Linked DNA regions of Pelodiscus sinensis. The protein of the gene in region 4 interacts with the protein of the main gene of each other region in a pairwise test. Links are inferred from orthologs where the notes say so. Each region holds a gene or a part of one and is shown on either strand. Other genes may lie near its edges. The genes, in order: PER1, BMAL1, PER2 and CRY1.

Region 1 (7,530 bases), on a different chromosome or scaffold from region 4:
TCCCCACCCCGAAAACCCACTCCCGTACCACAGTCCAGCAACTGTGACTCACCTCTGGCAGACGAGCCATCCAGGCCAGGCTCAGCAGGACCGGAGAACAGCTGGGAAGCAGTCCAAGGAGTTTGCACGTGGCAAAACACGGCACCACACCCCCTGCTCTTGCTTACGCACCCCCACCCCTGTGCCAACAAACCCTGGCCACTGCAATAACCTCTGTCCTACTGTATTTTTTATTCTCACAATCTGGCAGGCTGAGAAGCACACCTGGGCTAGTGCGGGATTGCAACATTTACAGTAACCCTGGCATGCTCGCTCTTTCCAAAACAACCCATGACATGCAGAAAGCTCGCTGGCAACTGGCATCCTTTTGCACTAACAAGACACTGGGCTGCGTACGGTCCTGGAGGACAGCCGACATCCCGTTCAAATTGGGCGCAGGGTAGCCACTGCTCTGGAGTCTCAGCACACATGCAAGATTCAGAGTCCCCAAATGCGGAGCAGAATTTCACCAGCTTTGTGTAAACCCTTGGGCCAGCGCCAGGTGATCGGGGCCTCCTGGAAGGGGGAGGGAAGGAGATGCGGTTACCTTCATCCTGAGCCTTGTGAAACTGGGAATTTAGGATATATCTTTTTTTAGGAACAGAACCAATGGCGTTTAATTCCGGACTGGCGAACAGCGAAGCTCCCAGGAAGAAACCTTGATCCTCTTGACTGCCTGGGCCACGGATGTTCTCAGCTGTAATCTGTATGCTGCCAGCCCGTCGTCGGCTAAGCTGGCTTTTTTAGGCTGTACATCTTGTGTCGCCACCCCTCCCCCCCATGTGTACGAGGCAGATCTGTGGAGCACACACAGCCTCCCAGCTGTGCTTTTGGGGCTCCTCCCTTTTGGGCCCAAGAGGGATCAGGGGGCAGAATATCGGCCCAGCTATTTCCGTACAAAGCTGGAAATGTCCCAAAAACAGAAGGGGCATTTTCCTGGACCAGTAAGAGGCAAGTTCAATCTTAGCCAGGAATATGGGACCTGCTGCTCTGGATCCCCCCAGAGCTGAGTCACCCCAAAAGACTGGGAGTCAGGACTCCTGGGTTCTCTCTCCAGCTCTGGAAGAGGTGTGGGGACCGGTAAATTAGAGGAAGGGGATTAGGAGCCAGGGCACCCAGGGCCCTGGCTCAGCTCTGCCATTGTGTGGTCCTGCGTCACTAACCCAACCAGCTCATGCACACAAGGCAACAGCTGCAGAGCAAGTACAGAGGAGAAAAAGGACACAAAAGGGTCACGGCCCAAACCCTCCCAGGACCCCATCACACAAACAGCTCCTCCTCCCGCAACACATCAGTCTCCCGGAACTGGGGCTTCAGGCCATTCAGCCGAGCAGCATGGGGGTGGGGGGAGGAAATCACACAATGACTCAGTCCCACTCACAAGCTGGCCCTTTTTCCAAGCCCCAATTATATAAGCCACTCGGGCCATTATGAAAGGGGCCCACACATACTCAGCAGCCCCAGCTGATGCCACAGGGTCCAGACAACACAGCCAGAGGGGGGTTTCTCTCCTGTCTCCCCCCTCCTCCAAGCACAGCATGGAGCTATCCAGGCACAGCTGGCTGAGATTCAACCAGCCCTGGAATGGAGCATTTGATTGTATGGCAACATGCGGAAATTGGGGGGAGAGGGGGTTGGGGCACACTGGCACCCTGCACAGTGCCGCTGACTCCCCCCACCCAGAAGAATCCACTCCTCCTGGGCTCAGACCCCATCCTGCCTGTGAGCCCCCCAAAACCTCCCCACAGTACCAATGCAACCTCACCAGCTTGTCCACCTAGCCACTTATCACCCACCTCCCTGCAGAGCGTGCAGCTCCTAGTGACCCTTAACCCCACCCCCATTCCTAATGTCAGGTCAGGAAAATTTGGGGGGGAACATATGCCCCCTCCCACATATCCCCAAATCCACTCCCCTGCAGATGCCCACCCTGGATCCAGTCCCCCCAATTCATTTGCCTTGCAGGACCCCCAGCCCCATGGGAACCCCTAGCTATCCCCCACAGAAATGCTCAGACCACCCCCTGGCTTCCCAGACACTCCCCATCTCACAGACACCCTCCATAGCCATTCCCCTGAAAGATATCCCAAAGCTCTCTGCCCTACAGGGCCCCTTGAATGTCAGCCCCTCCCCCAAGGGTCTCCCTCCAGGCTAACCCTTCCTTCCCAGCTACTTTATCTTCCAATGGATCCCCAAGCACGTCTCCCCATAGCTTTCCTCATCTGCTCAGAGCATGGAACCTCCTCAGCTCCTATGAAATCCTCCCACTCTAGAGATTTCCCCATATCCCTTTGCACTCCCATGCCTCTCTGCCTGATATGATCCCCAGTTCCCTAGGATCCAGTTCCTGTGCCTTACCAGCCCTACAACCCACAGCCTATGGGACACTCAGCCTCCATGAATCCCCCCAGCCCTAAGGGACCCAGACCCTCTGCGACCCCTATGTACACCCTCAGCCCACCATGAACCCATTCATACAGCCCCCATGGACTCATCCCCCCAACATCCTCAGCCCTCTGAGACCTCCAACCCCCCCAATGACCCAGCCCTATGGGAATCCCCAACTCCCACGAACACTCTCAGCCCCCACAGATCCAACCCTACCTAGCTACCAACCCGCACAAACCCCGCCTTCAACCCTCCACCCTACAGGGCCCCCAGCCCCACAGACACAGCTCCCCAGTGCTACGAGACCCCAGTTCTACAAGACTCCCAGCCCCTCTGCCCCACGGAACTGCCCCCCAGAGACCCAGCCCCGCCCCTCTACCCTCCAGCCCCACGGGTCCTGCTCCCCCGAGCCTCCTGCTCTGCTTCCCCCCAGGCTGCACGGATCCCCTGCAACCGCCCAGCCCCACGCGCCCCCCGGAGCCTGCCCCACTCACCGCAGCGCCGCGCCCCGTCTGCCTCTGTTTGCGCAGCCCCATGCCCGGACCCACCCCCTCCACCGGACCCGCCCCCTCCGCCACCCATTGGCCGCTCGGCGGCTGCTATTGGCCAGCCGGCTCTCGGGCATGCAGGCGGCCGCGTGAGGCCACGAGGCCCCGCCCCCGGGAGGTGTGGTCCGGCCGGGCATGCAGGCCCGCGCGTGACCCGGCCCCGCCCTCGGTGGCACCCCATTGGTTCGCGCCTCGCCTGGCCCCGCCCAGCCGATCGCCCATTGGTCGGCGCCGCGCCGCAGCAGCAGCTGGGGGAACACGTGCGGGCTCGGCGCACGGGGCTAGCGGCGAGCGGGGGTGGGGGCAGGGATCCGGAAGTACGGGTTCCATGCTTGGCTCGGAGGGGGAGGGGTCCGGATACCTGGGTTCTATCTCCGGCCTTGGCGGGGGGCGGGGAGCCCGGGGCCTCTGGGAGGGAAGGGGGAACGCGGAGCCGGACCCCTGGGTCCCGTTTCTGGCTGGGAGCCCGGATGCCGTGTCGGCCTCTGGGCGGGGGTCTGGGACCCATTTCTCAGCTCCAGCCAGCCCCACGCTAACCGCTTGGAACAGGTGGGGAAACTGAGGCAGGGGACTGCTATGACGTCACTGGCAGAGCCCAGGGGCCTCCCTCCGCCCCTGTAGAGCCAGGCTAAAACCCAGGAGTCCTAGCGCCCAGCCCCTTGCTCTAACCACTAGCCCCTCTCCCGTCCCAGAGGAGAGGAGAGAACCCAGGACCGTCCTGTCCTCTATCCACTAGCTCCCATTAGCACTGCCCGGGAAAGCATATCTGAGTCAGTCCTCAGGCACGAGGCGGATGAAGCGCCCGGCAGCCCCGCCCTATGGCTCATGGGGCTGCGTTCCGGAACCAGAGGTCCCAGATCTGGGGCAGGCCCCGCTCCTCCTCCCAGGATCCATGCTCTGCTCAGTGACTGGGGAGAGTTGGGGCGGAGCCTGGGCGGCTAGGCTAGGAGAGAATGCCTTGTTCCCGTCACTGGGACATCTATTAATAGTCAGAGCTGAGAGAGCCCCGGGCTCCGGCTCTGCGGCACTGAGCTGCATCTGGCTGTGGCAGATCGAGGGAGCCTATGCCAGGGCTCTCTCCAACCCCCTGACCTAGTCTCTCTGGCGGAGATTTAACCTTGTGTCCAGTCCTGGCCCTTCTAACCACTAGACTGCACTTCCCTCTCTCAGCAGTTGGAACCTGGGGGACTTGGTGCAGAATGCAGCATGTGAGATGCCAAAATGGCGGGGGAGGAATTCAGCTAGTGTGATGTAGAAATCGCAAGGATTGGGTGCAGGATCCAGCATGCAAGCCATGGAAATGGGAAGGATTTGGTGCAGGATCCAGAGGATGAGATGTAGAAATTGGGAGGACTTGGTGCAGGATTCTGTAGGCATCTGTATTCCCCATAAGCTGGGTTCTTGTGTAGCCACTAAGGAGAGATTCCAGTGGTACCCAGCTGATTTGCAGAGCACTTTGTGTTTCTACTGGTGGTGCACATTCACACATGCCTCGGTGCAAGTAAAAAAATGTATTCTGCACATGGATGGAAAAAAACCACTGGGCCAGAAATTGGAAGGATTTGGTGCAGAAACCAGTGGACAAGACATAGAAATCTTGAGGATTTGGTGCAGAGTGTAGCCTCTGATACGCAAATCCCCATCGTTCATGAAGAAGATTGGAACAATATTCTAGATGACTTTGAAGATTGGAAGAGCAGAAATAGGATGAAACTCCATAGTCCAAAACACAAAGTCATGCGCGTATAGTCAAGAATTTCTGTGGTAAGCCAGGGGCTTGTCCACTGGAAGCAATGAAGAAGGAAAGTGCTCAAAGTGAGTCGGTTGACTGCAGGCTGAGCTGGAGCCACTGATGTGATGGGATAGAGAAAAAGGCTAATGTGAGCTAGGATGTATCAGGAGAGGCATTGCTGGCAGAGCTAGATATGGGCTGGTGGAGGAGGTATTGGTAAAAACTCATCTAGGACATTGCATCCAATTTGGCTCACCTATGGTGAGGAAAGATGAATTCAGACCGGAACCAGGTGCAGAGAAGAGCTGCTAGAATGATCATGGGAACAAAGGACCTGCCCTAAGAGATGAGATATGAAGAGCTGTCTTGTCTTGCCTGACAAAAAGAGAGCTAACTGGAGGGGGCAGGACGGGAATGGATTTATTTATAAATACATCAGGTGGATTTGGCGCAGGACCCAGCAGACATGAGTCCAAAATTGGGGACAGTTGGCGCAGGACTCGGTAGGCATGATGCTGAAATCAGGGGCATTTGGTGCAGGACCTGGCAGGCGTGATGCTGAAATCGGGGGCATTTGGTGTAGGACTCAGCAGGTGTGATGCCAAAATCAGGGGCATTTGGCACAGAACCCAGCAGGTGTGATGCCAAATTTGGGAGCATTTGGTGCAGGATCCGGCAGATGTGTTGCCAAAATCAAGCAGATTTGGCACAGGATTGGATGTACGTGATGCTGAAATCAGAGGGAACTGGTGAAGGATCCAGCGTGTGTGACCCTGAAATCAAGGGAATTTGGTGTTGGAGCCAGTGTGCTTGATTTTGGCATCCTACAGATTTAGAGCAGGATTTGGTGTGTGAGATGCCAAAATCAAGGAGAATTGGTGCAGGACCGGGTGCACATAACACTGAGATTTAGCACAGGATTCAGCGTGCAAGATGCTGAGATTGTAGGAAAATTGGCATCAAATCCAGCATGTATGACACTGAAATTGGAGGGAATTGTTAAAAGGTCCAGCAGACATGATGCTGAAATCAAGGGGGTTTGGCGTGTGATTCATTGTGCATGTCACCAAGAAGGGCAAAGACTGACTGAAGCTAGATGACAACATTGCCCAGGACAAGTTCAGGCTGGGCATTAGAAACATTTTAAACCATCTTCTGAGATGGCCTCCCTCTGAGAATTGCTGGGGGGGGGAGCATAATTAGTTGTAAGAGGCAGACAAGTGGATGAGGGCCATTGTAAGGTGGGGAGTGGAGCTTGGCAGTCCTAAGGCGAAGGAGAACACATAACAGTTTCTCTTATTTTCTGAAAATCTCAGGCTTCAGGGCCTTGCACTTTCACCTGCAGGGATCAGGAAGGAATTTCTCCCTCTCTCCCAGATGATTGTTTTTCTTTCCTTCTGGAGCATCAGAGCTAAGCCAGAGTTGGGCCAGAGAGCTGAGTTGGCACCAAGCATTTTTTCTCTTTGATGCTTGGCTGGCTCAACTATGTCACTGTCTTTGGGGTTAGGAAGGAATTTTCCTATGATTAAATCGGCAGGGACTGTGATGGGCTAAAATCATAGACTACCCCGCAGTGGTCCCCCGCGGAATGATCTGGGCCGGGCCCTGCCCCGGGCATGTGGCCCTGCCCCTGGACGTGCGGCGCATGTGCGGCCCCGCCCCCGGACGCCCAGCATGTGCACCTGGATGCTCGGCAGCCCTGAAAGGTTGGGGACCACTGCCTTAGGGCTATCCCCGGGTGTGCTAACCACGGCATGAACGACCACCTTTCTTTCCTCTGGGGCTCCCCACCACTCTGTCCTGCTGGGCCAGATCCTCTGGTCTCCCAAGACACAGAGTAGGGATTACTGCCCCCCTGAAGAGTAACGCAGACACTGAACCAGGTTAACTCTGGGAGGGCTAAGCACCCAGGAAAACAACCCCAAAGGGGACCTAACCCCCAAATAAATCCTCCTTACTCCATGTAAAAGTTGTACACAGAGAAAGCTTGTATGGTCAGCCCCCTTTACCAATGGAAGAAAGAGGGGCACAGTGGTTGTCCCCTCCCCCTCCATTTCCCCGTAACAATTATTTATGCTGGGCTTGACAATAAACAAAAATGTTTCTATTAAATATAAATATAGGATTTAAGTGGTTGCAAGTGAAAACAGACCGATCAAAGTAAATTACTGAATTAAAATAAACAATGCTTAGCTAGTACTAATTCACTAAGCAAACTGTTACATATAAATTCTTACCCTAAATAGTTGTTCTTATCTCAGGTAAAGAGAGAGTCAGAGTTGATCTTTACTCTGATTTGAGTTTACAGCTACTTCAAAGTTCTTTGTATTTTCTTAGTGTGCACCAGGCAGTTAAATAAACTTTTCCTTCCTGGGAACCCTTTGTTCCCCACTCCCTAAGGAAAAATACCAGGTTCAAGATGGATTCCGGGAGGAGGAGGGGGAGATAGTCACATGTCTTTCAAAGACCAACCACAGTTGGAGCTTATAGGACAAACATGCCCATTCACAAGTCATCAGTTTGAGTATTGAGTCATTAAGCACTGCAGCACCAGTAATGGCTCTTATTAGTGTATTTAGAATTATAAACAGATCCACACTTCGTATTTCTAACTTCACATACAAGAATGACACATGCATAAGAATAGGATACACAGATTCATTGTAACTGTACAATTTATGTTACGTGACCTGTTTTGCATAAAGTATGAAATTATGCATATCCATAAGCCAATTTTCATAAGGCATGGGGGAGGGGGCTTATGGGAGCGAAGTTGGTTTTTTTCCCACCTTACTCTGCAGTAGGGGGCGGGTCTTTTCCAAG
Region 2 (7,677 bases), on a different chromosome or scaffold from region 4:
CAGCTTGGGAAGCACCCTTCCCGCCTCCCCCCAGGCTCCTAGCTGTTCAAAAATCACATGGCCCTGCAGCCAGCGTAGGACAGGGCAGGGAGGGAGTCTGCTTGGGAAGGCTGCTGGCTGGGAGTCAAGCAAATAAGTCTCCCAGCCAGAGCCTGCCTCTGGCACCCCAACTCCTTTTGCCCCCCTCCCCACCCCACATAAACTCAAAATGTCTGCCCCCTCCTTCTGCACCCATGTCCCCTCCCAGATTCCGTATCTCAATCCCTTGCCCCAGGTCAGAACCCAAAAGACTGCAACCTAGTCCCCTTCCCCAGGTCACACCTCAAAACCCTGAACCCTAGTCCCCCTAACCCAGGTCACCATTGACAACTTCACCCAAACTCCCTCCCAGACCTCCCACTCTCTCCTGCACCCCAGTCCCTTACTGTAAGTTCCCTTCTGCACCCAACCTCCATCCCAGACCCCACACCTCCTCCATTAATATGGAAGAGTGCAGCCCTTGACCACTGTTCAAATTCTTGGAGTGCCCCCCCATCAGAAATTATTGCCCACCCCGCTCTAAATTCGAGCAAAAACAAAATGAGTACTGTGGCACTTTAAGACTAACAAATTTATTAGGGAATAAGCTTTTGTGAAATACAACTCACTTCCTCAGATGCTGAAGACAGAAAAGGAAGGAATGCAGAGATATTATGAGTGGTACATCAGTGCTAGTTAAATCAAAGTGGATTTCTAAATTCTGATTCTTGTTCATGTATCCTTCATCTACATGACATACTGAAAGTTGGGGAAACAGTTTTTTCTGAAATATGAATAATTTAGAAAATGGAGGTATTCAAAGAAATAAATATCTACTGTTCTCAAATGGGGCCTTTTACACACATTTGGTTCACCAATTATAAACAAGTTAAAAATCAAAATCACTGTATTGTGAAGCCACAGTAATTGTTCTCCATACATAAGCACATTTCATTAAAACGCATTATATTATTTTCCTCAATCTGGATATAAATAACAGCTACCAATGAACATTCTAAGCAGCAACAGTGCTAAACATGACAACTTTCAAACAACTAATCAGAAGTAAAACATTTTTAATAAAAAAAAAACCAAGCACTGAAAACAACCAACCAACAACTAAGTGAAAAAATATGCAGTGCTCAGCAGCTCATTTAGATCATGAGGGGAGGGAGGGACAGTCTCTTACTTTCTAACACAGTGGTTTTCTTTAGAACAGTGGTCTGTTCAATGATAAACCAGAGTCTGCAGACTATAGTTAAGATTTCAGAGGAATTCACACCTCTGTTTGAAAAAAGTTAAGGATCTAATCATGAAAAAAAAAAAAAACTTTGAAAACCACTATTCTAACACAATAGGATCTTTATTAGGCCACTGAGTGCTACTATAAATATTTGTATTCACTACATACATTTTGTATTCATCAAACTGTCCCATTCCTCACATGAGCAAACTCTTCACACAGGTGCAAAATTTCTGATAGTTAGTGGAGGCAGCTAACTGTGGGATAATAGGCTCAAGGGTGGCTTAGATAAAAAAAAGAGAGAACTGCAAAGACTCCAAACTACTTTAAATATGATCTAATAGCAAGATACACTGGCCTACTACACTTTTTCCTGTTTTCTTCATCTGCCTTTACTGAAAGAGTTAATGTAAGAGGCATGAAATTTTTTTTTAAATATTAAATTTAAAAATAAGCTAGTTTTGAAAGTGACATCTGTCAAACTCAATATTTTAGTATCCCTTCTCAGTCTTGCTAAGACAGGTTGTTTCACTTCCTTTAAATCGGACTCTTCCTAAAATTAACATATAACAATTCCACTCCCAAATAACAAGGTCTATTTAAATACTGCTTATGGGGAGGCTGGGAACGCTCATACTTTGGAGAGCACATGAGGGGACTGACCCACACTTTGTTCCAGCACTGTATATTTTCCTCCCGAAACAATCATTACAATTACCTCAGATTTACAAGTCAAGCAATTTATTTTAACCAATGCACTAACAACTGATGCATGACATCTTCCACCATGTAAACTAATCAATGGAATCGACTTGTCGCTTTTCTTCCTGTGTATTATTGAACCCATTTCATTCTGTTTGGCTTCTTACTATTTCTTTGTGTTCCTATATAATATTCCTATAAGAGTTTATTTATAATGTATTATATAAGAGGGACTATTTAACAAAGACAAACCTCAAGTCAAACCAGTCAGCGTGTGTCAGCCACAAGCAGGCGCGAGGGGATACTATGCCCACGCTGAGATCCGTGCAAAGCCTGGGTCCTAGGGAACCGCTAATGTAGGCGCGCACACACACTTGTAAGGATTATCTATGTGGGATGCCCACAAACAATCCCCCCGCTGCTCCCGCGGGCTGCCCGGCCCCAGCCTCTCACGAGCCCCAGGAAGGAATCCCCCCCAGCCAGGAGTCCCTGGTCGCCCCCGCGCGATGCCTGGCGGCAGCCCCTCCCCCCAACAGAGCCCCCCGCCCGGGCCGCAGCAGACCCAGCCCGTCTCTCCTCACCGTACGGGGAGGGGGTCGGTGCCCCTCTGCGGCGCGCTGAGGGCAATGAGCAGTGCAGGCAGCCCCCGTCCCTGACCTACTTTCCGCCTGGCTTGCCACCGAACGTCGCACCACTAACCTACTTTCCAGCCAATGGTTGCTCCCCCCGGCCCGAGCGCTAACGTCCCTATCCGCCAATGAGCGAGCTGCTCTGAAAGGTCGTCGTCCAATGGCTTGCAAGAGGGCCTCCCGGAGCTGCCCCTCAGAACTTCGACCAATCGGCGCCTGCCAGAGGAGAGGCAGCCAATCAAATCAGAACTTTTCAGTTTTCCTCCCGCCCCCCCATGAAGGTCTAACTGGGGGCTGGAGGGAGGCGTGTGCGATAACAGGGCGGGGTCAGCGATTGCGTAAGGCTTGCTGGCGGGCGGGACCCGGATGTGCCGCTGCCGGAGCGCTCTGTGGCGGCCCCACCCCCTGGAAGAGCGGGGCGCGCTCGGCGGGCAATTCTTCCGGTGGGGCAGTTCGCCACAATAGCGTCACAGGCTGCAGTGTCGTCACCGTGACGTCAGCCTGCCTGTCAGTGCCATGACGTCACTGGACCAGGGATGCAAAATCCCGTGTCATGAGTGAACCGCTTAACCGTGTGTTAGCGCCCTGTCGCCCCCCAGCGTCGCTGCAGCGGGGCCTCCCTGCTCCCAGCTGAGCCGTGTTCCCGACCAGGGAGGTCGCTTCTGGGCTGGCTCCCCCCTTCCTTCCACCCTGACCCCCCCCCTTGCCTGCACTCTCCCGCAGCCCAGCTGGGCTCCCCCCCACGCACCAGAATCCTGGCCCCCCCACTCACCACAGCAGCCGGGACTCTCTGACCCTGGAGCATCCATGGTCCTGCCCTATCGCAAATGTTCCCAGATCAGAGAATTCCGGTTTACAGAGGTGGAACCTATCCCTTGTAGAGCAGGGTCACTGCCTTACATTTTAGCGGACATCAGACCAGTCATTTTTCTAATGTCATAAAACTAGCTTATTTAGGAAAAACTTAAAAACCAACAAATAGTCTGGTAGCACTTTAAAGACTAGCAAAACATGTAGATGGGATCATGAGCTTTTGTGGGCACAGCCCACCTCTTCAGATGACTGGAGTATAATAAGTCCAGATCCAAGAATAAATAAGGGAAGCGGGGCGGGGGGGGGGGGGGGGAGGAGCGAAGGGAAGGGGAGGACAGGAATAAAAAGAGAGATTGTTAAAGTTACAGGAGGCTATTATGAACCATTAGCACCTCCGTTGTTTAGTTGGTTTATGTCATTAAAAGGTGGAAAATAGTGTGGGTTCAGACCATTAGCATAAAAATTAAACTTGTAAATGAATTTAAGTTCCAATCCTTTTCTGTGTATTTGGCTTGTGGAATTGGTCTGAAACAATTAAATGAGCCTCTGATGTGGTACCTAAAGTGGTTGGGTCCAGTGATGAATTTGTTTGTATAGATATAAGGGCAGAGTTGGCACCGGGGATGATTTCAGGGCTGTTGCCCTGGGCTGAAGCTGAAGCCCTACCACGTAGGGCTGATAAACAAGATCTATCTATTCTGATTATCCACAATCATGCCCTAATACCAATTAGATAATCAGGGTTCCACTGTACATGTTTCTGTTTTTATTTTTCACAGATGTAAAAACTAAAGATGCTCTATAAAAATGCAGACTCCAGGTGTTTTTTTCCTGACAAACAGATTTCCAGGATCTCGTGTGATGACACGGTAGCTACATCCTGGCTCAAGGCAATGATGTTGCCGTGGAAGTGATGTCGTGACACGACAGGGATGATGTAGCACCATGAGACAAGGCTAAGGTTTCCAACTTTCTGAATGACGAAACCCAAACACCTCTGTCCTGCCTACGCCACATTCCAGCACAGCAGAGCAGAAGATGACATAGAAGCACAAGGTGGTGATGTCACAAGCACATTGATGACACTGCAGCACAAGGGAATGGCTTTGCTACTGAATATCAATGGTATCATTTCACAATGTGCTTGCACAGTGTCAAAAATTGATGTGTCTAAATGCAATATTATTCTACAAATCTTAAAGTGTACTAGTCACCTCACAAAGCATAGTAAAGACACATTGTCCCAGTTTACAAGCTAAATTTAAACATGCTAAGAAGTGGGTAGGAAGAAACATGAATATCTCAGTACTAGTACACAATGGGTATGTTTTGTGCCACTGCAGTCACAATGTTGTTGCGTTCATTTATTTTGCCATACCCAAACACTGCATTGTATTATCATTATGTGAACCTGTAATTATCACATCCCATTGTCTCAAAATCTCCCTGTCCAATTGCCAATCTTACTGATTGCATCTTGAAAAATTGTTATCTTGAAAAATAGTTATGGTAGGCACAAAATTTGTTGCAAATTTCTACTTATAAAACTTTAAAAACAACTAATAGTCTAACAGCATCTTAAAGACTAAAAAAACATGCAGATGGTTTCATGATGGTATCAGATGAAGTGAGTTGCACCCACAAAAACTCTTGATAACATCTATATCCCCTTTTGTTAGTCTTTAAGGTGCTGCTAGATCAGTGTTTCTTAAACTTTTTAAGACCATGGAACACCATGTCTTAAACACCAAAATAGAGAACTCTATAATAATGGGGGATTTTAATTACCCCCATATTGACTGGATACATGTCACCTCAGGAAGAGAAGCGGAGATAAAATTTCTCAATGGCTTAAGTGACTGCTTCTTGGAGCAGCTAGTGCAGGAACCCACAAGGGGAGAGGCAATTCTCGATTTAGTCCTGAGTGGAGTGCAGGATCAGGTCCAGGAAATAACCGTTACAGGACCACTTGGGAATAGTGACCATAATATAATAACATTCAACATTCCTGTGGTGGGAAGAACACCTCAGCAGTCCAGCACCCTGGCATTTAATTTCAAAAAGGGGAATTACATAAAAATGAGGAGGTTAGTTAAACAGAAATTAAAAGGCACAGTGACTAGAGCCAAATCCCTGAAAGCTGCATGGAAACTTTTTAGACACAATAATAGAGGCCCAACTTAAATGTATACCCCAAATTAAAAAACATAGCAAGAAACCTAAAAAAGTGTCACCGTGGCTTAACCACCATGTAAAAGAAGCAGTGAGGGACAAAAAGGTATCTTTTAAGAAGTGGAAGTCCAATCTTAGTGAGATAAATAGAAAGGAACATAAACACTGTCAAATCAAGTATAAAAATGTAATAAGAAAAGCAAAAAAAGATTTTGAGGAACAACTAGCCAAAAACTCAAAAAGAAATAACAAAATGTTTTTTAAGTACATTAGAAGCAGGAAGCCTGCTAAAAAACCTGTGGGTCCCCTAGATGATCGAGCTATAAAAGGAGCAATCAAGGACAATAAAGCCATTGCGGAGAAACTAAATGATTTCTTTGCTTCAGTCTTCATGGCTGAGGACGTTGGGGAGATTCCCGAATCTGCACCGTCCTTTGTGGGTGATGAATCTGAGGAACTGTCCTGGATTGAAGTGTCATTAGAGGAGGTTTTGGAACAAATAGAAAAACTTAATGTTAACAAATCTCCGGGACCAGATGGCATTCATCCAAGGGATCTAAAAGAACTCAAATGGGAAATTGCTGAACTATTATCTGTGGTTTGTAACCTATCCTTTAAATCAGCTTCTGTACCTAATGACTGGAAGGTAGCCAATGTGACACCAATATTTAAAAAGGGCTCCAGAGGCGATTCTGGCAATTACAGACCGGTAAGTCTAACTTCAGTACCGGGCAAATTAGTCGAAACAATAGTAAAGAATAAAATTGTGAAGCATGTAGAAGAACATAATTTGTTGGACAAAAGTCAACATGGTTTCTGTAAAGGGAAATCCTGTCTTACTAATCTATTAGAGTTCTTTGAAGGGGTTAACAAATATGCGGATAAGGGGGATCCAGTAGATATAGTATACTTGGATTTTCGGAAAGCCTTTGACAAGGTCCCTCACCAAAGGCTCTTGTGTAAATTACATGGCCATGGGATAAGAGGAACGGTCCTTTCTTGGATTGAGAACTGGTTAAAAGACAGGAAACAAAGGGTAGGAATAAATGATAAATTTTCAGATTGGAGAGGGGTAACTAGTGGTGTCCCCCAAGGGTCAGTCCTGGGACCAATCCTTTTCAACTTATTCATAAATGATCTGGAGAAAGGGGTAAGCAGTGAGGTAGTAAAGTTTGCAGATGATACCAAACTGTTTAGGATAGTCAAGACAGAAGCAGACTATGAGGGACTCCAAGAAGATCTCACCAAACTGAGTGATTGGGCAACAAAATGGCAAATGAAATTTAATGTGGATAAGTGTAAAGTAATGCACATCGGGAAAAATAACCCCAACTATACATACAGTATGATGTGGGCTAATTTGGCTACGACAAATCAGTAAAGAGATCTTGGAGTTATCGTGGACAGTTCTCTGAAAACTTCGACGCAGTGTGCAGCGGCGGTCAAAAAGGCAAATAGGATGCTAGGAATTATTAGGAAAGGGATAGAAAATAAGACCCAGAATATCTTACTGCCCCTGTATAAAACTATGGTACACCCACATCTTGAATACTGTGTACAGATGTGGTCTCCTCACCTCAAAAAAGATATATTGGCCTTGGAAAGGGTTCAGAAAAGGGCATCTAAAATGATTAGGGGTTTGGAACGGGTCCCATAGGAGAAGAGGTTAAAGCGACTGAGACTTTTCAGTTTAGAAAAGAGGAGACTGAGGGGGGATATGATAGAGGTCTATAAAATCATGAGTGGTGTGGAGAGGGCTGATAAAGAAAAGTTATTTATTAGTTCCCTAAATAGAAGAACTAAAGGACACCAAATGAAATTAATGGGTAGCAGGTTTAAAACTAATAAAAGAAAGTTCTTCTTCACACAGCGTGTAGTCAACCTGTGGAACTCCTTGCCAGAGGAGGCTGTGAAGGCTAGGACTATAATAGAGTTTAAAGAGAAGCTAGATAATTTCATGGAGGTTAGGTCCATAAAAGGCTATTAGCCAGGGGATAAAATGGTGTCCTTGGCCTCTGTTTGTCAGAGGCTGGAGAGAGATGGCAGGAGACAAATCGCTTGATCATTGTCTTCGGTCCCCCTCTCTGGGGCACCTGGTGC
Region 3 (7,558 bases), on a different chromosome or scaffold from region 4:
TCTCCTCCTCTCCGTATATATCCAAAAGCTACATATGCTGCTATTCTTCTCCAGGCTCAGCACACTGGTTGAAAAGGCAGTTCACTCTTCTCTATCCCGTCCCCACTGGCTATTCTTTTTTGCTCTACCAACAGCAATGCAGAGGTGTATCTGGCAGTTCTACTAGCAGGACTGAGAGCTTCTGCAGCACTTTTTTCAAATTCATGGAGATAAGCAGGCTCAGGGTGTGATGGGTGGGGAAGGAAGCTCGGAAGAAGATTACTGCAGCTTTCATCATGATCTGCCCTCACTCTCACAGGTTGCTATGTTACAAAGGCTGGGAGGAACAAGTCCTTCCTGACTCCAGTAGCCACAGAGCTGATCAGGCAGGGGGCTGCTGCCCCATGCACATTCAAGTTTGCCCAGCTTTAGATGTTTCAGTGCTTCACTGCAAGAGCAACTGAGCTAAAGGACACACCTGGGATCTTTCCCAGTTGTCAAGAAACAAACACGAGGGCTACATCTACACTGGCCCCTTTTCCGGAAGGGGCATGTAAATTTCACGAGTCGTCGTAGGGAAATAAGTAGGAATAAGAGCCTCCGGAAAAGGGCACTTTTTCCGGAGGATCGGGGCCAGTCTAGACGCTCTTTTCCGGCTTTTTTAAAAGCCGGAAAAAAGCGGCGGACATTTTTATTTAAATGCCGCGGGGGATATTTAAATCCCCCGCGGATTTCCCTACGACGACTCGTGAAATTTACATGCCCCTTCCGGAAAAGGGGCCAGTGTAGACGTAGCCGAGGTATCACTCCACAACCACTGCTTAAATTATACTCATAACTTTCCCATTTTTCCCAGGTCTCCAAATCTGGGGGAATGGCAATACCCCAGAGAGGCCATCTATTTTTCCCTTTATTCTACTTGTCTGAGAGAGTCTTTCTTTTGTCTCTAACAGGCTTTGGGTCAGTTTACCAAGTAAGGCTCATACGGAGTATTACAGACAAATGGTCCCTCAGTAGGTGGCAATGGCACTTAATTCTTAATTCTGGGGCTTTTCCCCTGAAAAACCTTTTAAGGAGCTATTGTTCTTTTACATGTGCAGATACAAATAAATGCTGCCCTAAGCAGTCAGCCATTTTACAGCTGTGTGTCTGCTGATCTGTATGTCCCCTTTCTCTTCCAACATCTCCTCTTTACTTACTCTTTTAATACAACCAATTAGGTCATCATAAAATGGGATTTTCAGGTCTCTCCTCCATGTCCTATTCCCTTTCTATTTCGGTCTTCTCTCCTGAGCCTCCGGTCTCTCGCTCGGTCTCTCGCTCTCTCTCCCCTCCTCCTACTGCCTCCCCCACCCTCTCTCTTAGCTCTTCTCCGTCTCCCGCCTCTCTCTCCATCTCTCTTTCTCTTCACCCCCTCCTGCCTCTCACTCTCTTTCTCTTCTTCTCCTCCTCCTGAATGGGGAGCGCGGAGCCCAAGTGACTGTTTGTACCACTTGCTCCTGTGCGGCAGCCCAGCTGAGCGGCTGCCTATGAGCTCCAGCTGTCCCCATGCACCGTTTCCCTTCACCCCAGCATTGATCCTACAGCCTCCCAGTTGTCCTCCACCTCTCCTTCCCCCTCGTTCTCCCACCTTCCCCCCGGCCAGGGTCTATTCATGGCCAGGGGGTGGGGCCTGAAGCCACACGTCATGCTGCACGTCACCGCCCGCCCCCCTTTGCCTCCCGCAGTGGCGCTCGGCTGACTTCTGTGCTGCTCAGCCGGGCCACTGCGGGGGAGCAAGCAGCACAAGCAGCCATTTGGGCCCCGCGCTCCCCATGCAGCATGGACCCCAAACAGCCACTTGCGCCACTTGCTTCTGTGCAGCAGCCTGGCTGAGCGGCACAGAAGTTAGCTGAACACCATGGCAGGAAGCAACAGTGCCGCCCAGAGGGAACAGCCAGTGTTTCAGCATTAGAGTCACAGACATTGGGCTACTATATATGGGTATGTCTACACTAGCCCCCTAGTTCGAACTAGGGAGGCTAATGCAGGCATTCAAAGTTGCAAATCAAGCCCGGGATTTAAATACCCCACACTTGATTTGCATGTTCCCGACCAGTTGCCATTTTTGAAATTACAAGCCCAGACTAACTGCCTGCGTCTACACGCGGCAGGGAAACGGGCGTTCGAAATAAAGCCCTAAATCGAACTACCTGTTAAACCTCATTGCGGGAGGCAGTTAGTCCAGGCTTGTAAATTTAAAAAATGGCGACCAGCTGGGAACATGCAAATCAAGCGCAGAATATTTAAATCCCGGGCTTGATTTGCAATTTCAAATGCCTACATTAGTATCTCTAGTTCAAACCAGGTGGCTAGCGTAGACATATCCAAAATGATTTCTGAAGGTGGCAGAGGCTATGTTTAGACTATGGAGTTTTATTGGGAAAAGATATGCAAATTACACTCTGCAATTTGCGTACCTTTTTCTGATAGTTTTGTCAGAAGAGGCTTTTCAGAAATTTGGCCCATCTACACTGGGCCAAATTTTGGAAAACCCTACTCTTTCAGAAGAGTGCCGAGTGCTGTGGTATCCCAAATGAGAGTAACCAAAGCAGAGAGAGAGGAAAATGCTTTGCTGTCCCTCAGCGAGGTAGGCAAGCAAGCAGGAAAGCTGAGACCTGGCTGTCCAGGAGGGTCCCTTTAAGAACCAGCCTCAGATAGCCTCAGACAGCAGCCACACAAAGCAATTACTGACCTGATGCCCTGCTGGAACTGGTTTCAGCTGCCCTTAAATGCGATCCAGCGTCCAATCAGTGTGGACACACTATTTCAAAATAGCAAAATGCTATTTTGAAATACAGTTTGTGTCTAGATGCATTATTTTGAAGTAGCTTAATTCGAATTAACTATTTAATTTAAGTTAATTTGAAATAGCGCTGTTGTGTAGACATACCCAGGCTGACTAGAAGCAAAGAGGTAAAACTCTATTGGGATTAGGGCGTGTGTATCAAGCCAGATCCCTTGAATTCAGTGGAATTGTATTGATTCCCACAGCTGAGAATCTGGTCTTCATGCTTTTACCTGGCCCTCTTCCTGCAGTCTTTTCCTAGAAAATGTTTTTCTTTCAATGTGTCTTGTGGGAAAGTGTCCTTTAGATGGCACCAAACACTTGCACTGTGGAAATCCAACAGAAATTTATGGTTACTACGGGGCCATTTCAGTTCATTCACTTGTAATCTGTGTTTTTACTGACTTCAGTGAGGCCAGGATTTTATACATAGGTCCTAATTCTGCTTCCAATGGAAGGTAATGGGACTTCTGCTTTTTACTTCAATTGGAGCAGGTCTGGCCCCATTATCTTTTGTCTTCTCTTGTGCATAAATACAAGGTGCATCTTATAATTCATCCAGTCTCTGCTAGAGAATTTAACAGTTTTCACTATGTAAAAGGTAACAAATGGTCTGGTAGCACTTTAAAGACTAATAAAACATGTAGATGGTATCATAAGCTTTCGTGGGCACATCACATTTCTTTAGATGACCAGAGTTTTGAGTTTAGGATGTGCAGACCCAAACTAAATAGGAGAGAAGGGGGGGGGGGGGGAGGAGAAAAGTGGTGAGAAACAAGGAGCAAAGGGTATGAAAAATCAAAGGGAAAAACAGGATGGCAGAGCTGGGAATCAGTAAGCACCTGAAGATTGAGTAGTTAAAACAAAGCAGATAAGAATCAAAGTCAATAGATAGTACACTTCCTAACTCAGGAATCTACGCAAAGAGCTGTTTGCACCTTCATTGAAGGTTAGGTTGATAGTGTCCTATTTATTTTGGGTCTGCACATCCTAAACTCAAAATGCTGGTCATCTGAAGAAGTGGGCTGTGCCCACGAAAGTTCATGATACCATCTACATGTTTTGTTAGTCTATAAAGAGCTACCAGACCATTTGTTGTTTTTTCCATTACAGACTAACTCAGCTACTCCCTAAAACTATGTAAAAAGTGTGTTTGACTAATTTTTCTTTGCTAATTATTACTCTTCTGGACAGATTAAAATTAGATTAAGGACAACTGACATAGTCTGCAGTGTAATTTATAAGGAATTGCAGGCCAGTCTCATATTTATTGCTGGCATAAGTGGGCAAAACCCTATTGACTTCAACAGATGCTGCACCTTTATAAGACACTGATGAATTTGGATCAGGATTTCTGTTTGGGCACTTTAACCAATTACCGTAAAATCACGAGTATAATGCGCACCCTACCTTTTCAACATCAGAATCATGGAAAAAAGTGAACTCCTATATATTATGCGCACCCGCATTATACTTGCAATTTTATGGTATATATAGGAAGGAAGGGGCCGCTCCCATCTGCAGGCTCGCCCGGGAAACACACGCGCAGCATTGGGGAGCCAGCTGCAGAGTTTGAAACCTGCTCCCCACCCAGCTGCCTGTACTCCATGCTGAGCTCGTGCCTGTCACGGGGCCCCTTGGCCCCCCCCCTCCCCTCCGCTCCCAGCTGTCCTTGCCGAGACCGGGCAGGCAGTGAGCCAGGGCGCTCCTTGCCTTGTCTGGGAGCCTGGCTGAGCTTGCGCCTGCCGCAGGGGCCCTCTGCCCAGCTGAGCTCGTGCCTTTCCAGCTGAGCTCGCGTCTGCTTCGGGGGCTCCCTGACCAGCTGCCCATGCACCGTGCCGAGACCGGGCAGGCAGCAAGCCAGGGCACTGCAGTCTGGCGGCACCACTGGTTCCTCGCCTTGTCCGGGAGCCTGGCAGGGCACCGCGCTGCAGCTGGAAAGTTTCTGTGCAGAGGGGAGGGTGAGTTAAAAACTTTAATGCTACGTCTAGACTGGCATGATTTTCTGGAAATGCTTTTCTGGAAAAGTTTTCCATTAAAGCATTTTCGGAAAAGCGCATCTAGATTGGCAGGATGCTTTTCTGCAAAGCGTCCGTGGCCAATCTAGACGCGCTTTTCCGCAAAAAAGCCCCAATCGCCATTTTCGCGATTGGGGCTTTTTTGCGGAAAATAAATCTCTGCTGTCTACACTGGCCCTTTTGTGCAAAAGTTTTTCAGAAAAAGACTTTTGCCCGAACGGGAGCAGTGTAGTATTTCTGCAAAAGCAGTGACAATCTTACATGAGTCAGTGCTTTTGCAGAAATTCAAGCGTCCAGTGTAGACAGTTGGCAAGTTTTTCCACAAAAGCAGATGATTTTGTGGAAAAACTGGCCAGTCTAGACACAGCCTAACAGAAAATCTCCTATGTAGCATGCGTACCCTAGCTTTGACCCTAAAAAATGGGGGGGAAAATGCACATTTTCCTTGAGATTTTACGGTAATGCTTAAAATCAAAGTAAATATATTTCAATTTGCATGCAAAAATTGAATTACTCTGCTTCTCCCAGGACTTTCTGTATGTCTCTTCTGATCTATGATGTTTGAGCATCAAGGCCATAGTGAAATTAACAATGACTGGAGTTTTTCTGTGTAAAATGTCCTTCCGTCCTCCAATACCAAACAGGATTTCACACTATGGTTAGGGGATCATCTTGCATGAGTAGGAGCTGATAAATTGTGGTAACTTCTATTATAAATTCTTATCAAGCCAACTTCTATAGTTATAATAGAGTTTCCCTATTGTAAGTTATCAACTGCAAAAACAAAAGCTTAGACTTGTGTCCCTAACCAGCACTCAGAATTAGCTTGCACATATTGCAAATGTGCTAGTGTCTGCTAGCCAGCCTGTTTCCTCTAACAATAGTGAAGGAGCTAATGGGGTTAAAGCACCAGTGCATGTTTCTCTAAAAAAACTTCATGGAAAGAACTAGTGTACATTTTAACATCACAGTATTGTATAGTCTGTAAAGACACTTGAGCTCAGCATGATTATGTTCACCTGACTGTCTACCTAGGACTCCCAGGATAAGTTTAAGTAGCCCTGTAACAGAGGAATTGTCTATGTAACAGCAAGCTGTAATTTTTTTCCTTCACCTCCTAAAAGAGCATTTCCTGTGAATACAGACTTTCCATGTATGAAGTGTGCTAACCGAGGATTATCTTTTCTGGTGGTGGACATCATGCGAGTGAATGTAGACAAGGTTCTAGAAAGAGACCAAAAACTTTCAGAGCTTGACAACCGGGCAGATGCATTACAAGCTGGTGCCTCACAGTTTGAAACCAGTGCAGCCAAACTGAAGAGAAAATACTGGTGGAAAAATTGCAAGGTAAAGAGGATAGATATCTCTTGTTTAAATCTGCCTCATAGAGTATTTACTTTCACTTTGCTCTAATGAGCCCTTGTAAGAGTAGGTTGGCTTTTAACAACCTTTTTTCTTAATGCTGAAAAGTAAGCTATTGTACTCTTTAAGGTAGTCTTCGAAAGCAATCGTGACGTTGAATAGAGATAGACATAAACCTACTCTATAGCTCAGAGAACCTCAGATCTTTGTGCTGTTTGAAATGAGAGAACAATTCAAACAACTTCTTCTGTGGAGAAAATTGCTTAATTTAAAAATCTAAATATGATAGTGTGATATGTAAAATGATGAAATGGACACAGTATGCAAAACCTCCAGCCCTAGCTCAACAAAAATAAACTTGCAAGTATGCACAAAACCAGTTCCAACATAGCATATATATAGAGTGGGGTGGAAGAGCCTTTCTCCTCTTGTGGGGATTGATGAATCTCTTTCTCCTTCATGAAGGTAAGCTGCTGATGAGGAAGCCATTGGGCTCAGGTACTCTTCAGGCTGGCACAGGAAGTGAAGGATGAAGAGAGTTTTCATGAGGGAAAAGCAAAGATTGAAATTCACCAAAATTTTGCCCTAGTCCTCAACATACTCATCCTTTCCCTTGAACATGGAACACCCTTCTTTCCTTCCTGTCCTAAAACCATCTACTTCTCCAGTCCAGTATTATCCTTTCCAGCCTCACTTCTCAGCCCTCCTTCTGTCTGTCCCCATGCCAATCAGTCATCCATATGCCTCTCCAGAACAAGCCCCAACTCAGTTGCCTGGATTCATTGCCCTATCCCCTAAAAACCTGTGGTGCTGCTCCCTGGTAAATCACCTCCTTCCTAAGAAAGACCAGCTGTCTCGAGGGCTGGCTCCTGACCCCCTAGGCCCTTCCTGATCCCTCTGAAAAGAGAATAAAGTAAGCTTCCAGACCTCAGGAGCCAGAGGAGGGGTAGATGGAGAAGAGAAAGGGCCAGTACCAGTTGTTGGTTCTTCCTTGCTGTCACACATGTGCACGACAGGACATTAAGGCCCCTCTTGATTTTCACAAAGGGTGTACTTTTCAGTCATACTAGCTAATCGAGGGTATGTCTACACCACAGCACTAATTCGAACTAACTTAATTCAAATTAGTTAATTCGAACTAGTGCATCTAGACCTAAAAACTAGTTCGAATTAGCATTTTGCTAATTCAAACTAGCACGTCCACATTGAGTGGACCCTGAACCGAGGTTAAGGCTGGCCGGAAGCAGTGCCGGCAGGGCATCAGATGAGGACTTAGAGCGTGCAGCTGCTGTCTCAGGCTAGCCGAGTCTGTGCCTAAAGGGACCCGACCCCCACCCCGGACAGACAGTTCTCAGGGGTTCCCCGCTTGCGA
Region 4 (7,046 bases):
GAATCCACTACAGGTTAAACCTCTCTCATCTGGACTCTCTGGTCTGACAACACCTGTGGTCCTGCCAGACCACGGATGTTGCTAGACTAGAGAGTGCTGGCTGCAAAGGTTGAGAGCATCTGGGAGTGGAGCTGGTTTGGTTAGCTGCAGCCTGCAGGGCCAATCACCTGGCAGCAGGGAGCCCTGGGAGCAGCTACGGCCCTGTGCAGGGCCAGGGAACTACAGGAGAGAGCTTCTGGAGCAGAATGATGACAGCAGAGCCAGGCAGGTGGGTCAGAGGCAGTCAAGCCTCTGCAGGAGCAGCCTGAGGCCAGCTGCGGCAGCTGGTACCCCAGGAAGAAGGCGTGATCGGCGCCCCCACCTGCACGGTTGTCAATGGCTGTGACGTAATCATGGGCTGCCCCCGAGCCTCTGGGTTCTCAAGGGACAGCAGGCAGGAGGGGAACCCCAGGAGAGCCCAAACACCTGACTTCCACATATCCAGCAAATTTCCTTGTTTGGGACCACTCCAGTCTCGAGGGTGCTGGACCAGGAAGTTTCAACCTGTACACTATTTTTGGTAGGGATGTGAACAGTTAACTGTTAAGTCTCTCACCAGTTCTGGTTAACCAGTGTGGGCTGGGGCAGAATCTGTCCCCCTCCCCCTGCAGATAACTGCTAGCTCCTGCTCACTAGAGAGAGGGGGATGGCAGTGTCAGCTGCAAACCCCACCTATAGGGGGGCCAGCAGGGACAACCCACTTCATCAATTAACTGGTTAAATCTGATTTACAGGATTTTACATTTCAAGTATGAAGTTGGTTAAACTTGCATCTTCCTTAAAAACATCACCACTTATACTGTTCAGGATTGACAGGATTTTTTCCAGAGAATTTACATTTAGATCTGTTAAGCCATGTGCCAAAAATATTAAAAAGACCTTTCATGAATTCAGCACCTGGTAGTGGTGCATTTTTGGTCATAAAATAATCATAGCTCAGATATTTAGGGGAGGTAACTGGCCTAATCTACTCAGCACCTAATGAGGTCTCAGCTGAAGCACTGCATCCAGGTCTGGGAGTCAAATTTATGAACAAACTGGAAAGAGCACAGAACAAAAGGTTTTCTAAACCTTTTCTTTCCTAATATCTAGGGGCCCTATCAAATTCACAGATATGAAAAATGGATCATGGAAGCAAATCAGATTTCACAGTCCAGGAAATCTGATCTTTGCGTGCTTTTACCTTATACTATACAGATTCCACTGGAGAGATCAATGTTTTTCAAATTGGAGGGCTCTGACTCAAAAGGGAGTTGCAGGGGAGGAGGGAAGAGTCACAATATTATTTTAGTGGATTATGGTATTGTCATCCTTACTTCTGCACTGAGTGCAGAGCTGAGCTGTCAGAAAGCAACAGTTGTTGCTTGGGTGTCTAGCATCTGAGAGCAGCACCCCATCAGGAGCAACACAAAAGTAAGGGTGGCCTATTCCTACCTATCAAAAATCAGTTCATATTTAGTCTTAAGGGGGGGGAGGAGGGGAGAGAAGAGAGGGAGAAAGACTGATGAGGACCGGATAGCCCTAACCCTATTTGAAGGCTGTTATATAAAAAAAGATAATCAACTGTTCTTTGTGCTCTGAAAACAAGACAATTTTATCTTCATCAAGGGAAATTAAGGTTACACACTAAGAAAATCTTTCTTTCAACAAGGATAGTTACACTCTGGAATAAGCTTCCAAAGTAGACTATAAAAACCCACATTACTGGAGAGTTTTTTTAAGAACAGGTTGCACAAATATCAACCCGGGATTTAGGTTTACTTGGTCCTGCCATGCCATAGGGCTGAACTATAAGAGCTCTTGAGGGCCCTTCCAGACCCACATTTCTATGATTTTGAAGCTAAGCTCTTTTGACTTGCATACACTAGTATCTTTCCCTAAAGTTTCCAGCCACTGCTACTAGCAATGCTCCCCTAATGGAAATCCGAGGGGCTGCAGCCACTAGTCATTAGCTCTCCTTGAGTCATGGTTATACAACACAGCGGATTAAAAACCAGGGGACTAGAGTGAGCGGCCCCCGTGGGAGAACTCCCTTATTTGGGGGGCAGGGTCACATTTTCTTTCGTCGGAGGCCGTTCGGCCCTGTGCTTTGGATGCGGGGCAGCGGGCCCGTGGCGGAGACTGGCACCGCTGCTGGGTCAGGCAAGGCCAATGAGAGCGGCGGGCGGGGAGCGGGCGGGGAGCGGGAGGGGCGCATACGTAACCCGGCGATAACGCGCGGCCGACCGGGCCCGCTCACTCACCGCCACCTGTTGATGCCCACGTTGGAGGAGCCGGCGAACCAGGGGTCGAGGATGTAGACGCAGCGGACGCTGTCGGCGCCCTGGATGCACTCCCGCAGCGCCGGGTTGTCGTGCAGCCGCAGCCCCTTGCGGAACCAGTGCACCGCGTTCACCCCCATGGCCCGGGCGCGGTCCCGTCCGGAGCGGTGGGAGGGAGGGGGGATTCAGGAAGAGCCGCCGCGGCTCATGCCGGACCCGGGTGGGTCTCTGCGGGGCAGCCCTAGAGCGGGGCGGACGCCGCCCCCGCCGTGGCGACACTGAGACGCGAAGCTGCTGCCGGGGTCGCTGCCTCCGCTCGGCGATCGTCCGTTGGCTTTAGGACCCCGCGGAGGCGACAGCGGGGCCGGCCGCCTCAGGGGGGCACATCCCCTCCCCTTCCGAAATCCCCCGCGCGCGCGCGGGCCGCCTCTTGCCACGAGCCCGTGGCTTCCTCGCCGCTCGCCCTGTGACTCGGTGCCGGACTCCGAAGCCGACAGTCGTTAAGCCCCGCCTCCCGCCTTCTTATTGGCTGCCGCCGCCCCACCTGACTCGCCGCCCTCACGTTCCCGAAGTGTGTTTAGTAAGCCGGCCGGGAGGGGCCGCGGGGCGCGCGGGCTGGGGCCTCGAGGACAGAACCGAGCGCAACCGCTGCGCTAGAGGTCGACCACCGATCCCGTTCCGCTGGACACACCCGCCTGCCTGCGCGGCTCGGGAGCCCAACTGCGGGGGGGGAAGGGGACGGCACCTCCGTCACTGCGAGCCCCGCCTGCTCCGGGAGAAGCCCGGATGAGCACGGGGCGGCGAGGAGGCTCCGGGCGCGCCTCTTAGTGCGCATGCTCCCCTGCGCACGGCAGGCCGTAAACGGGCAGTTATGCAGAGAATCCTGCGTACGTCAGAGGGACGTTCGTCAGCAGGCGTGTCACGGGCGCGCGTTGGCCCGGCTGCCGGAGGCTCACGTGGCGGGCGCGCGGGAGGGGCGCTGGGCGGCTGCGGGGGCGGGAGGAGCCGGCAGGGACACGGGCTGGCGCTTGCATAACGAAGCTGCGCGAAGTGCCGTTAAAGCCGCAGCGCCCCCACCGCTCTGCGCACCTGCCCGGGCCCGCCTCTGCGTGTCGGGGCGCTGCCAGCCCCAGGCAGTGCGGGCCCCGGGCCGGAGAGGCGGGAGCCCCACCCCAGGGCAGTCAGGCTCGTGCAGAGCTGTGCTGATGGCTCAGGAGAGCAACTCCTCGGTGTCCTTCCTCTGCCCTCCCTGCCCCTTATGCTAGCTCACCCTTAGGGGTGAAAGTAACTTAAAAGTTCTTGCAGGACTGTCTTATTGCAACCCCCCTTGGGGCGGTGCCTCAGCACAGGGCGAGGCTTAGGGATGTTAAAATGTGTTTAGGTGAAATTATATAACTGCTGAAAATCTGTATCAGAGACAGCAGTGCAGAAAAGCCAGCTCCCCATGTGCACTGGCTCCTGCCTGTGCCCAGGAGCAGCCAGAGACCAGCTGCAGCAGCTGGCGCCCCAGCGGGCATACGTGATCGGTGCCCCTGTTGGTAGGGCCGTCAATGGCCTGATGTCATGGGCAGGTGCCCCCATGACATCATCCTTGGGCACACCGCGTGGCGGCGCCCCAGGCGGCGGCTGAGTCGCCTATAGCCATGGGCTGCCCCAGCCTGTGCCCCACCCACTGTCGCCTCTAATGGGGGGAGGGAAGAGGTGGCTCCCTGAGGCTGTCTACACTAGTGGGTTTTTGCGCAAGAACCCGCAGAATGTCCACACTGCCTCCCTGCCCTTGTGCAAGATTTATAGTACGGCCTCGGAAGACAGGGCAACTTGTGCAAGAGCTATGCTCTTTTCTAACACATGTAAGGCCTCTTGCACAAGAGCTCTTGCGCAAGAGGGCAGTGTGGACGAGCGGCAGGGATTTCTTGCGTAAGAAAGCCCTATGGCTAAAATCGCCATCAGAACTTTCTTGTGCAAGAGAGCGTCCACGCTGCCATGGATGCTCTTGCACAAAAAAACCCTTGCACAAGATGTTCTTGTGCAAGAACCCAACAGTGTAGACATAGCCTGAGTGCCCACTGCTCACAGAGCTGGTTTAAAAACCCTTCTTTCCACCCCTGTCTGCTCCCTGCACAGGGCTTACTTCTGCTTTGCCTCTTCCTCTTCCACACCCCACCCCTTGGATTAAATTGGCAAGAGCAAAGGGGACAAGTGCTCACTTTTGCCAAAAAAAAGTTGGGAGGGCAGGGTCAGAACTTCATAATAATTTTTAAAGTTCCAGCTAAAACAGGATGTGTGGTCACTTTAGAAAAATAAATCACCTTTCCTTCAGCCAGTTTATAATCCATCCCTTGGTTATGTGCTAGCCCTGTGTGACAGTGAAATGAAATGATTAGAAGTCTAGGTAAAACTAGGGCATGGCTGTGCTGCAGCTGAATATCTTCCCTTAATCTAGCCAGAACTACACTAGGAATTAATTCAGCATAACGATAACATTATGTGCACATTTTTCTCACCTTTGAGCAACATTGCTTAAAATTTAGATTGACATAGGCCCAGCCTAAGCCAACTCAGGTTCATTACTCAGTAAATGATTCACTGAAAGATTAAAAACCCAGCAAAGGTAAAGTAAATGCTATGATCAGCTCTAATACTAAAGCATAACTATGAACACAAAACCATGTTCCTTTAAATGCACCTTTAACACAATTTTCCCTAACCCCAAGACACTTATCAAATTTGCTTTTATATATATTTCTATGTACTCTTGTAATTACTTTCTATACTTTGGCTGTTTCGTTCTCAAGAGCTTTCGGCTACGTCTATACTGCGCTCTTTTGTGCAAGAAAATATGAAAATGAGGTGAAGCAGTGAATATCGCTGCGCCTCATTTGCATACTTAATGAGCCACCATATTTGCGCAATGGGCTTTTGCGCATAAAGGAGCCATCTATACAACTCTTGCGCAAAAGCTGCCTCTTGCACAAGAGCTGTTCTGCCTGAAAAAAAGCGGCAGAATGGCTCTTGCGCAAAAGCCCCTTGTGCAAAAAGGTAGCTCATTAAGTATGCAAATGAGACATGGCAATATTCATTGCTTCACCTCATTTGCATATTTTCTTGCACAAGAGGAAGCAGTCTAGATGTAGCCAGTATGTTTAAGAGCAGTATAAGGCTAGGCACTACATTTTCCCCTCAAATCTCAGCCATCGTTGTTATAAAGGAGACCTTAAACTGAATAAAATTCTAACCACAGATGAAGATAATTCATGAATTGAAATAGGTCACTTTTTTAAAAGTATCCTCTATAAGATGAGCTTTGTAAGTTGCATTTAAGGCAGTATTCTATTGACCCACTTTCACAATAGGGAGGCCTTTTTGAATGTAGTAGGTTAAAATGTTTATCTTGTTTATAATAGAGATACAGGTAGAATTAATACAAGTCCCAGATAATCCGGAGATACAGCTAAGCATGTTCAAAATAATAAATTTAAAAACCCCACAAAACCTAAGAAAGTTTTTGTAGCTGTTTGAAAATCTTGAATCAGATTGTATTATGTGCACAGTTCCAAACGCAACTAAGAAAGGACTGCTGGGTTGGGACACATATCCCCTTAAGGCTGTAATCTGGTGGGCCGACCATACGGCTGAACTTGCCTACCTGCCCTTTGAGGCACTCTATCACCCTGTCTTACTGAGTCAGAAACTGGTCTCTCCTAGTAAAAGCACAGAGATAGATATAAAATAAGTGTTAGAGAAAGGAATACCAGGAGTTTTGTTCATGTCTCGTTGTACATTCAGTGAATCATAGAAATATAGTACTGAAAGGGAGTTTGAGAGGTCACTTAGTCCATCCACGTACACTGGGACAGGGCCAAGTACACCTAGCCTAGACCATTCCTGACAAAGGATGGTGGTTCCACATCTTCGCTTAACCTAAAAGGGTAATTAAGCCCTGAAATAGTTTTCTTTCTGTTAACCTATCTCCTTCTCTGTAAATTAAGCAGATAATTTCTTGTCCTGTCATCAGTGGGCCTGGAGAACAATTGATAACCATCTTCTTTGTACAAGCTCTGGACATATTTTCATCTGGTGAAGTGGGTCTTATTGATGAAAGCTCTTGATGCTCTATATTTTTGTTAGTCTCTAAGGTGCCACAGGACTACTTAAATAAGATAACACCAAAAGTTCAATGGTAACAAATTCACTAAACAACCTTTTCTCATGATCTCATTATTTTTTGTCACAGTTTTTGGGCCTCTAGTAATATCCCAACTCAATTTAAAATCAGCATTTACCCACATCTACATAAAATGTGATATATTGAGGTTTCTTGGCCATAGAAGGAAATCAGGACGTGAGATTTTGTTCAGTTTGGGAGACTGAGAGAGATATTGGCCTTAAGCTAATATGTTAGGTGAAGTGGACTAGGAGCTGTAAGCTATATTTAGGTAAGATTTTATTTTTTGGAACTTTTAAGTAGCATACCTTTCAAATGTTTGTTTATTTAATAATTACATTCTAATTTTTTAAATAAAGGAAGTTACTTTATTTAAAATCTTAATTCCACTTTCAAGTCTGGGAATTTTATTAAATCCAAACATGCCTCAGTGCCCTAAATTGGAACATTTATATTTAAAAATGGCAACAATACTTGTATCAAATGGGAAAATATGAATATAAGTGATTCTCAGAGAGAAAGATGTGGTAGTGCTTAGCACTCTAATTAAGGAAGAAGATTCATCAGTATGAGTTATAGCA

The links.
Region 1: the proteins of CRY1 (region 4) and PER1 interact in binary tests that used the Homo sapiens proteins (3 or more experiments, as listed by UniProt). The link is inferred for Pelodiscus sinensis from reciprocal best matches to the Homo sapiens genes CRY1 and PER1.
Region 2: the proteins of CRY1 (region 4) and BMAL1 interact in a two-hybrid assay, tested with the Homo sapiens proteins (3 studies listed by BioGRID, with this or other methods). The link is inferred for Pelodiscus sinensis from reciprocal best matches to the Homo sapiens genes CRY1 and BMAL1.
Region 3: the proteins of CRY1 (region 4) and PER2 interact in a two-hybrid assay, tested with the Homo sapiens proteins (5 studies listed by BioGRID, with this or other methods). The link is inferred for Pelodiscus sinensis from reciprocal best matches to the Homo sapiens genes CRY1 and PER2.

The regions. Positions count from the first base shown.
Region 1 is NC_134734.1:10,861,772-10,869,301, reverse strand, and holds the start of PER1 (period circadian protein homolog 1), read right to left. Parts: upstream 3,015-7,530; 5' UTR 2,922-3,014; intron 572-2,921; exon of another isoform or gene 53-571; intron 1-52. UniProt on the Homo sapiens protein: Transcriptional repressor which forms a core component of the circadian clock.
Region 2 is NC_134714.1:101,481,169-101,488,845, forward strand, and holds the start of BMAL1 (basic helix-loop-helix ARNT-like protein 1), read right to left. Parts: upstream 3,009-7,677; 5' UTR 2,663-3,008; exon of another isoform or gene 2,545-2,662; intron 2,342-2,544; exon of another isoform or gene 2,216-2,341; intron 1-2,215. UniProt on the Homo sapiens protein: Transcriptional activator which forms a core component of the circadian clock.
Region 3 is NC_134720.1:10,340,776-10,348,333, reverse strand, and holds the start of PER2 (period circadian protein homolog 2), read left to right. Parts: upstream 1-4,558; 5' UTR 4,559-4,767; intron 4,768-5,968; 5' UTR 5,969-6,171; intron 6,172-7,558. UniProt on the Homo sapiens protein: Transcriptional repressor which forms a core component of the circadian clock.
Region 4 is NC_134711.1:96,455,414-96,462,459, forward strand, and holds the start of CRY1 (cryptochrome-1), read right to left. Parts: upstream 3,003-7,046; 5' UTR 2,441-3,002; coding exon 2,283-2,440; intron 1-2,282. Other genes in the region: MTERF2 (transcription termination factor 2, mitochondrial), read left to right, coding at 3,172-3,187.